Linked DNA regions of Canis lupus familiaris. The protein of the gene in region 2 interacts with the protein of the main gene of each other region in a pairwise test. Links are inferred from orthologs where the notes say so. Each region holds a gene or a part of one and is shown on either strand. Other genes may lie near its edges. The genes, in order: CASTOR1 and ZC2HC1A.

Region 1 (4,497 bases), on a different chromosome or scaffold from region 2:
CGATGAGCGTGGTAGCGATGGCTGGCAGTGTCTCAGGGTCCAATGTGAGGACACAGAAGCGGTTCTGTGGGCTCTGGATGGGATGCACCGTGGGACTGGGCCCTGGGAGGAGGGACCAGGCAGAGAACTACTGTTAGGGCGACTGTGGGCTGGGGCGCCCCCTGGTGGCCAGATAGGGAGGGGCCTGGGTGGAGGCTAGGGTCCTGCTCTACAGGAACCCTCTTCTCCACCACATCTCCCTATCTTGTGAGGCAGTCTGTGTCAGCCGGTATCCCCACGTCCACAGACCAGCTCTCATAAGGGAAGGGCCCCCGTGGAAAGAGGAGGCCCTGCCTAGGTCTGGGTGTGAGGGTAGCCTCACCATGCTGCGAACGGGGAAAGCCATTGCTGGAATCATCCCTGGCAACAGGCACAGGCTCCCCGCCCACTTCCCGGTAAATGTCGAACTCCTGGGATAGCGTGTGGATCACCACGGACAGGTCCTGTTCCCGCACCTGGACCACAAGAGGAGGATGTAACACGAGTCCCCAGGCACCCATGCCCACCCTGCCCCGGAGCCTGCAGAAAACTCACCAGGATGAAGTCCGTTTGGTAAGTGGACAGCATCAGGACAGACACATGGTGCTCTGCCAGTGGTGCAATGACCGAGCGGGCAATTTTGGTGACTCCGGCAGCCTGCACGGTTGCACCACTGTGAGATGACACGTTCAGCACCAGCCATGTGGCCTCAGCCACTTGAAGGAACTCAGATGGGGGTAGCTCTGTGAGCAGGAAGTATATACCAGGTCAGGGCCTACTGGGCTGGCCCCTGCCCCTTGGCTTCCCTGTCTGTCCAGGAATTGGGGGTGGGGGGGTTCTACGAAGGTAATGGCAGGTCTGGAGACTGGGGCTGTCTCCCTCTCCCAAGTTCTGCTCCTGAGCTGCATGTATGCAAGAACTGAGAAGTGCTTCAGGTGCTGGCCTGCTAGGGATGGAAACTTCCCAGTTAAGACTGGAGCTCCAGAGTCAGACAGACCTGGGTTCAAATCCCGGCTTCACCATTTACTTGCTGTTGACCCGAGGTCAATGATTTAACCTCCCGGATCTCAGTTTCCTCATCAGTAAAATGGGATTGAGAGTATACACCTCATGATAGCTTTTCTTAGACTAACAGAGGTTTTATACCATGTGGCACCAGCAGGGGGCGCCAACAAACCAGGTTGGCTGAAGGAAGCCTTTCTCCCTTAGCCGACCCAGACTTTACTGCAGTACAAACGGGGAAACTAAAGTCTAAAAGGCTGCAGTGAAGTATGGGCCGAGCCTCAGTTTCGTGGTCTGCGACTCCAGGCCTGTGAAGAGGGGTCAGGCTGGCAGGAGTAGGAGCCAGATGTCAGCTTCAGGAACCAGGGAGAAAACAGGCTGGTGTCCAGGCCACAGCAGCAGCCAGGAGGCCCCCCAGGTCCTGGACATGGGCTGGCTGCCTGCTCCTGCACTCCTTTTCCAACCCTCAGACTCCTGGAGTTCCCAGACCAGCCAGGGAGGGGGTGACCGGCACCAGAGAGATAAGTGCAGGGAGAAATAATGGCCAGGGGGAATATAACTGCAATAGGAACCTCTGATTCTTGCCCTAAACTGGCCCTGCAACTGGCCTGAGGCTGCCAAGTGCCCTTCACAGCCCTGTCTATAAAGTTTTCATGGGACCCTATGATCAGAACCACAACTATACCCATTTTACGTAAGAGGAAACAAACAATTCAGTGGGAGGAAATGACTTGCTCAAGGGCACACAGCCAGTGTGCAGTGGAGGCGAATTCGAACCCAGACCCATCTGCTTTCAAGGCTCCAGCTCTTGGGACTTTGGATTCCAGGATCTAGTGAGAATCGCAAATAGGGGAGCACGCCACCCTTCCCCGGCCCAGCCCCCACCTTTGAAGCCCTCCTCGTCCACCATGAGCGTGTAATCCTCGGGGGTCTCCGTCAGGCTGAAGAACTTGCACCTGGAGGCGGGGGGAGCATCTTCAGCCTGGGTTGGGCGGAAGGGGCGTGCAGGACTTCGCTCCAGGCGCCCGGAAAGACCCCAGCAGGACGCCTCCCTGCCCCCTCGAGCCTCAGTTTTCTCCCCGGGCCAGTGGGGCGTGGGCTTCAACACCGGAATCACGAACTGTTTTTCGCCTCCCGACCTCTGCGGGAGCTCCCGACCCTCGGTTCCCGGAAGGAGAAGAGGCTCGCCCGCGGCTACGCCCCCGTAGCCCCCGGGAGCATCGGACTTTGGGCGCCCTAGACCAGCCCCTCTGACCCGACGGGAGGGCGTCTGGAAGAAGCTCCCCGCAGTCGCCAGGAAGGAATTGCCCCCATTTGACACCACTTGGAGTTAGGCATTGCTCACCCAGGTTGTTTGCGCCGTAACTGGCTCTGGGACGGCGCCTCACAGGGCCGGATAGGCGGCGGTCCCGGGGAGGGTAGGCCCAAGCCGGATGGCGGCCTCGGGGGGGCGGGGGGGCTTAGGGAGAAGGGCCCTCCCCGACCGCTCCCGCTCGCCCCGCGGCGACGTGAATCCCCGGCCCCGTCCCAGAGCAACAGCGGAGCCCACCCCCACCTGTGCCCCCGAACCCGGGCGCGCACCGGCTGCGGCGGGGCAGGAAGAGCAGCTTGATGAGCGGGTGAGTGTAGAGCCAGAGACCTGGGCGGGCGAGGCTCAGCACCCGCACCCGGTGCTCTAGGATGTGCAGCTCCATCACGGTCCGCGCGGACCCGACCCCGCCGCCAACCAGACCCAGGCCGCCGCCGGGGGCGGGGCGGGGGGGCGGTGCCGGGGGCTTAAAGGAGCCGCTGTGTGGCCGCGTCCACGCCGCCCGCTACGCTGCAGACCCTCCCAACCCCATGCCGCGTCCAGTTCCCTGACGGCCACGCCCCGACGGACGGACGGCCTATCCAGAGTGGCCACGCCTCCTTCCCAAGGCCAGAGCCTCAATCCTCACGTTCCTGCCCGCCGAGCCCGCCCCTGGTGACTCCGCCCCCTCAGCCTTGCTCGGGGGAATCACGGGCTGATCCCACCCCGGGGGGTCCTTCAGGCCCCGCCCATGCCGCGCCCCCTCCCCGGGCTCCGCCTTTTCCGCGGGTCGCCTTCCTCGCTAGGGTCCGAAGCAGGAGGGAGGTCTTGGAATTGTTTCTGTCCTTCAGGCCCCCATATATAGGTCTAATAATTGATAACCTTGAAGCTCCAAAGGGCTGCGAGGCGAACCGGGGCTCAGCTGGAACCAGAGTGCTGCCCAGAAAACCCTGGAGCATGGAGGGGTAGGCTGTGCAGCCCCCGTGATGCTCAGATTCTCTCCCGACCAAGGGTCCTGCCGCCTTTCTCCCCCCCTTCTCCTTATGGAGGAAGAAGGCGCTTACACACTAGGGTACAGATTTGGGGAGGGCCAGCCACTTATATCTGAGCAACATACTGTGGGGTAGGGGAATGAAGGTGGTCAGGCTTATGGCTTGAGACCCTTCAAGACTAAGTGCTTAGGCCAGGGATGCTCAAGGCTGACTTCTGGGGACAGGCCCATGTGTCTGGGGCTCACTGGGTACTCAGATCTCAGACCTGAGACTTGAGCCCTGTTGAAGCCTCCCAAAGCCTGCAGCCTATTAGCAGAACCCAGTTGGCCTGAGCACATGTAAGCTTGCTTCATGCCCATGGAGGCCCTGGGCATTGGCAAATGCCCCAGATCTGAGGCTTATAAGACCAACTTGGGCTCATTTCAACATTAGAATTGGGTTCTGCTCAGTTTTAAGCAGATAATCAGCACACCTAGGCTGGTCCTGTAGCAGGACAGAGCATGCTCTGGGGGGCCCTTGTCTGGCCTGAGCATCCTCAGGCTTCAGATCTGAGGCTTTGAACCAAACAGGTTAAAGCCGGCCTCAGGCCTGACTGGGACCCAGCAGGCCTACACAAGCCTCCTGCCTGCTCAGAAACCTCTACTGTAGGCGGGTGGAAGCTGGGCAGCACCCTCCCTCCCTGGCCTCTCTGGCTCAAGGAACACTGCAGCTGCCACATCCTGGCCTGTCCCCTGGAGAGCCAGGGGGAGGGGAGTGTCCTCAAAGCCTCTCGTGGCAGGTATAAATGGGGTGGGAAACCACAGAGGTGAGGGGTAGAAGGCAGGAAGTGGGTAGCCTGCCCTGATAGACTCACATGACACTTGACCTCCCTAGGCCTCAGTATCCCCAGATGTATCATGACAGGGTGTTCCAGGCCCAGGCCCTGTGATGCCTGAAAACTCCTAGGGAGGCTCTACTCCTCCCTCTCCCACTCCCTCCCACCATGGCCCAGCCCAGCTTGGTAGCCTGCCAGGAACAGCCGCTATTGTTTGACTGGAAAAGCTGCTTCCTCAGCAGAAGGGGGGCCTTTCCCAGGGACACCGTGTCCTTACCCTTGACAGTCATCAGGTCGTGACCATAGTGCCTGCCTGGGCCCTCAGTGGCATTGCCAGATCACCAGGCACCCTGGTCACAGGGGGCTCTAGGTGCAAATTGACC
Region 2 (3,730 bases):
ATAAAAATAAATAAAAATATATCCATCATAGAAAATACATATACCTGCAATGCAAAAAAAGACTCAAGACTTCTGCTGACTCTCTGTTGCTGTGTACCTCTTCTATTATTTTTAATTCCCTGAGTACAAATCAAACATGTCTAATTTGATATTTCTACTAGCGACAACTGTTTAAAATTTTAAATATGATAGTTTAAATCACTAAGTATTGATCATAAACCAATAGTTTTTGCCATTAAACTACATATTATTAGAAATATCCACAATGTTTCATGTTTTCAACTGCTATATTTTACTGGCCAAAGAAAATTTTTCTTAGAAATCTTGAAATGAAATATATTTGTAATATTTAGATGTCATAAAACACTTCAATAAAATAATTGCAATTTCTTTAAAATATGATGGCACAAAAAAAATTGCCAATGAAAAGCACTATCTCATTTTTAAAAATCTGTATTTTGGCTTTGAACATTTTTTTCTTATTTCAGTGTGCTCTTATCTTTCTACCTATGTCTGGCTAAAAGCTAAGACATCAATAAAGACCACCTGAATTTTTTTTGCTTCATGTCTTTATTGAATAGGTTCAAAAATGAAGACAGTATTTGTAATAAAAAAAAAAAAGAGTGAACAAGAGACAACAGCAACCATAATAATCTTACTTCTCAAGCTAGTGACTTTCAGAATAATATATAAGCAATTTTTACATTTTTAATTTAAGCTTAACAATCATTTCTTTATTCTACCACACTGGCAAATACTTGTAAAAATAAATAAAAATAAATGATGCATAGATCTAGGAAAATTTCTTATAAACTGAACTATTGCACAACAAATCAATGTGAGAATAATATATGTAGGTAACAAAAACGCATTTAAAAACACTGTCACAACATATTTCATAATTTCTAAGTGTACTTCACCTATTTACTGTTTATAATAATCTCTGGGTTCTAGAATTGGATGATTTTTTACCAACTCATTTTCCATGTAGTACATTATAACATTTACTGGCTACTGCAAAATTCTGTGAAAAACAAACATGTGCCATTTTGTTTAAGTTCATTTATCTATCCCTTCTTTGGGCTAAATTACCTGGTCTTAAAAAAAAAAAAAAAAAAAAAAACTTGGAAAAAGAAAAATAGTGCTCAGTTCCAGGGAAAACAAAGTTTAAAGTTCTTCATATGATTTGTTAACAGAACAAAATAACATATATTATTGAAATGAAAATCTAATATGTACACTATTCTCCTAAATTAATTACAGCTTATTGTAGTTAATGGACTTTTTAGGTCAATATGACTGAATAAAGACAACCAGATTTAAAATTAATGAAAAGTCAGGAAAAAAACTATAAGGTAAATAAAACAACAATTCCCATTACTTCAAAGTTCATATCCCCTGCTGAATGGAAAACAACAACAACAACAAAAAACACTAAAAACAAAACCAAAAAACAAACAAAAAACCTAAGGAATACAATTATAAAGTATAAGCATAAATAAATTTCAGAGAAAATTAAAAGCCACAAATTTCTGCATTAACCCTTATATTTGCTCACAGTCATAAAAGAGAAGCTAGAAATGACCTATAAAAGATTTGCTTGTATCTTTATAAGATCAAAGCTCTTTTCTTTCTACTCCACAGAAACCACTAAGGAGTTACTGAACATGGCTGCACAGACAATCAAAGTATCTACTACTAAATACTGTCACATTGATAGTGATAATGATTAAAAGCTGTAGGTTAGCCAAAGTCAAAGTACAATTAAATTTTTGTGAATGTTTAGTTACATAAGTCAGCTGTGCATTAAAGCAGTGCATTTTCAGTGTTTTTTTTTACTGTGATGTGAAGGTGTTTTAGTATTAAACACTAAAAATAAAATATAAGAAAGAAAAATTAGTCTCTTAAACAGCTCATCACTACATCTAACTATACTTCAGGGAAATTAAAATTAAAAAATTAAAATACTTCTTACCTGCATGCCTTGTAGTAATGATTAATTATCCAAATTATTTATTAGGGTGAGGTGGTTTGTTTTAAAATCCATCAAAATAATTTCTTCTAATTTTAGACACAGAAATAAACATGTAGAATTTTTTAAGGAATTTCATGCCTCTTAAATATTATGCCTCTTATTTTCAAACTTTGCAAAAAGTAAATTAAAATGCCTCAGACATAAGTTTATAAAAAAGGAAAAAGTGAAATATGGAGACACAATTAGAATATACATTCAACTAACACACTGAGGTAAAAAAATCAGTTATAACTGGAATAAGATATATTTATATTTTTTAATCTTGTGTCTCTGAAAAGGAAATTACATAATTACATTTTAAAGAATGAGTAAAGATCTCTAAATTATAAAATTAATGATATATCAATTAAAAAACAACATAGTATAGGGGTTTTATTCTCTTTTCAATTATTTATAAAATTAATTGTTGAAGAGCTCTTCAGGAAAATGACCTCACATAACTAATTGTAACTGAATGTACTGTTTCCAAAATTCCAAGCATCCCACCCTATAATACTATATGAAAATAAGCACCGATAATATGTTTGTTCTGATTTTTTGCTCAAATTTTTTGATCATCCTAAAGCTTGAAGGGCTGAGCACTAGCATTTGATTTTGTGAAGGTATGCTTAATGTGCTTTAACAACAACAGAAAAGTAATACCTAAGTTAATGATTCCACTTGAAATTATTTTCTGACAGATGAGTGAATATTTCCTTGAGTGGCACAGTTTGGGCTATCAGGTATTAATTATATACAGTATATGTACACATATATATATATACACATACACATTACACAGCCAAAGAATTATGCTCCAAAAATTGCCGAAAAAAGTATTTTGAATAATTTTAGCATAAAATCATTAAAGGAAGTGCTCTAGCTGTGCAAGCAGCAACAGTCATAAAATTCCAGACTTAGCTTTTTCTTTTGGACTCTGTTCACAGAATCATTCTTCGAATGCCACATTCACAGCAATACTTTGCCCATTCTACAGGGTATTTAGTCCCACACTCATGGCAGAATTTTGGTAAGTGTCCTGTTGAATTTCCTTCCGTGCCTTTAATGTTTCCGCCATTAAGTGAAGATATATAGTCTCCATCTGGCCTGAAGGAGTACAGGAAGAAAAGTGGAAACACAAAGTTCTTGTCAATAGTTTTCATACCCTTAGAAAACAGGACATAATATTAAGTATACATAAAAGCTTGCTTAATCTCAATTTTAAGATTTTTCTAGTTCAGATTAAAAAAATCCCTTTTAGTTAATAATTAAATTCTAAATGTTTTCTTTGGCATTGTATTTGTCCCGATTATGAGAATTTTTCACGAGTAAATGCCACCACACTTTCCATCTGCTCAATGTACTAGGCATATACCACAACGGGCATAGAATGGAAATTTATAACAATGTTCCTTCTGCAAAACCATCTCTAAAGAGAAAACTGGAACCTCACCCTCAGGAAAGATGGAGGTCTTTCCTCCAAATATACACTGCAATAATTATGTACATATATTAAAATATATACTATAAAACTATATATACATAATTTTTCTTAATGTGTCCTATTTTCACTGTATCCATGGAGTCATTTCACTCTAAGTCACATCACTATCCTCAGGTTGAGTCTTATTAGGTCCTTTGCTCTAATTTAGTTATACTTACAACACACTCAAATTCTCTTGTCCTTCAATGCTGTACTACAACCCACATGGCTCT

What was found.
Region 1: the proteins of ZC2HC1A (region 2) and CASTOR1 interact in binary tests that used the Homo sapiens proteins (3 or more experiments, as listed by UniProt). The two-hybrid records come from large-scale screens. The link is inferred for Canis lupus familiaris from reciprocal best matches to the Homo sapiens genes ZC2HC1A and CASTOR1.

Annotation. Positions count from the first base shown.
Region 1 is NC_049247.1:23,849,953-23,854,449, forward strand, and holds the start of CASTOR1 (cytosolic arginine sensor for mTORC1 subunit 1), read right to left. Parts: upstream 2,837-4,497; 5' UTR 2,715-2,836; coding exon 2,602-2,714; intron 1,977-2,601; coding exon 1,906-1,976; intron 762-1,905; coding exon 574-761; intron 495-573; coding exon 362-494; intron 103-361; coding exon 1-102. UniProt on the Homo sapiens protein: Functions as an intracellular arginine sensor within the amino acid-sensing branch of the TORC1 signaling pathway. As a homodimer or a heterodimer with CASTOR2, binds and inhibits the GATOR subcomplex GATOR2 and thereby mTORC1.
Region 2 is NC_049250.1:26,926,774-26,930,503, reverse strand, and holds the end of ZC2HC1A (zinc finger C2HC domain-containing protein 1A), read right to left. Parts: intron 3,122-3,730; coding exon 2,956-3,121; 3' UTR 552-2,955; downstream 1-551.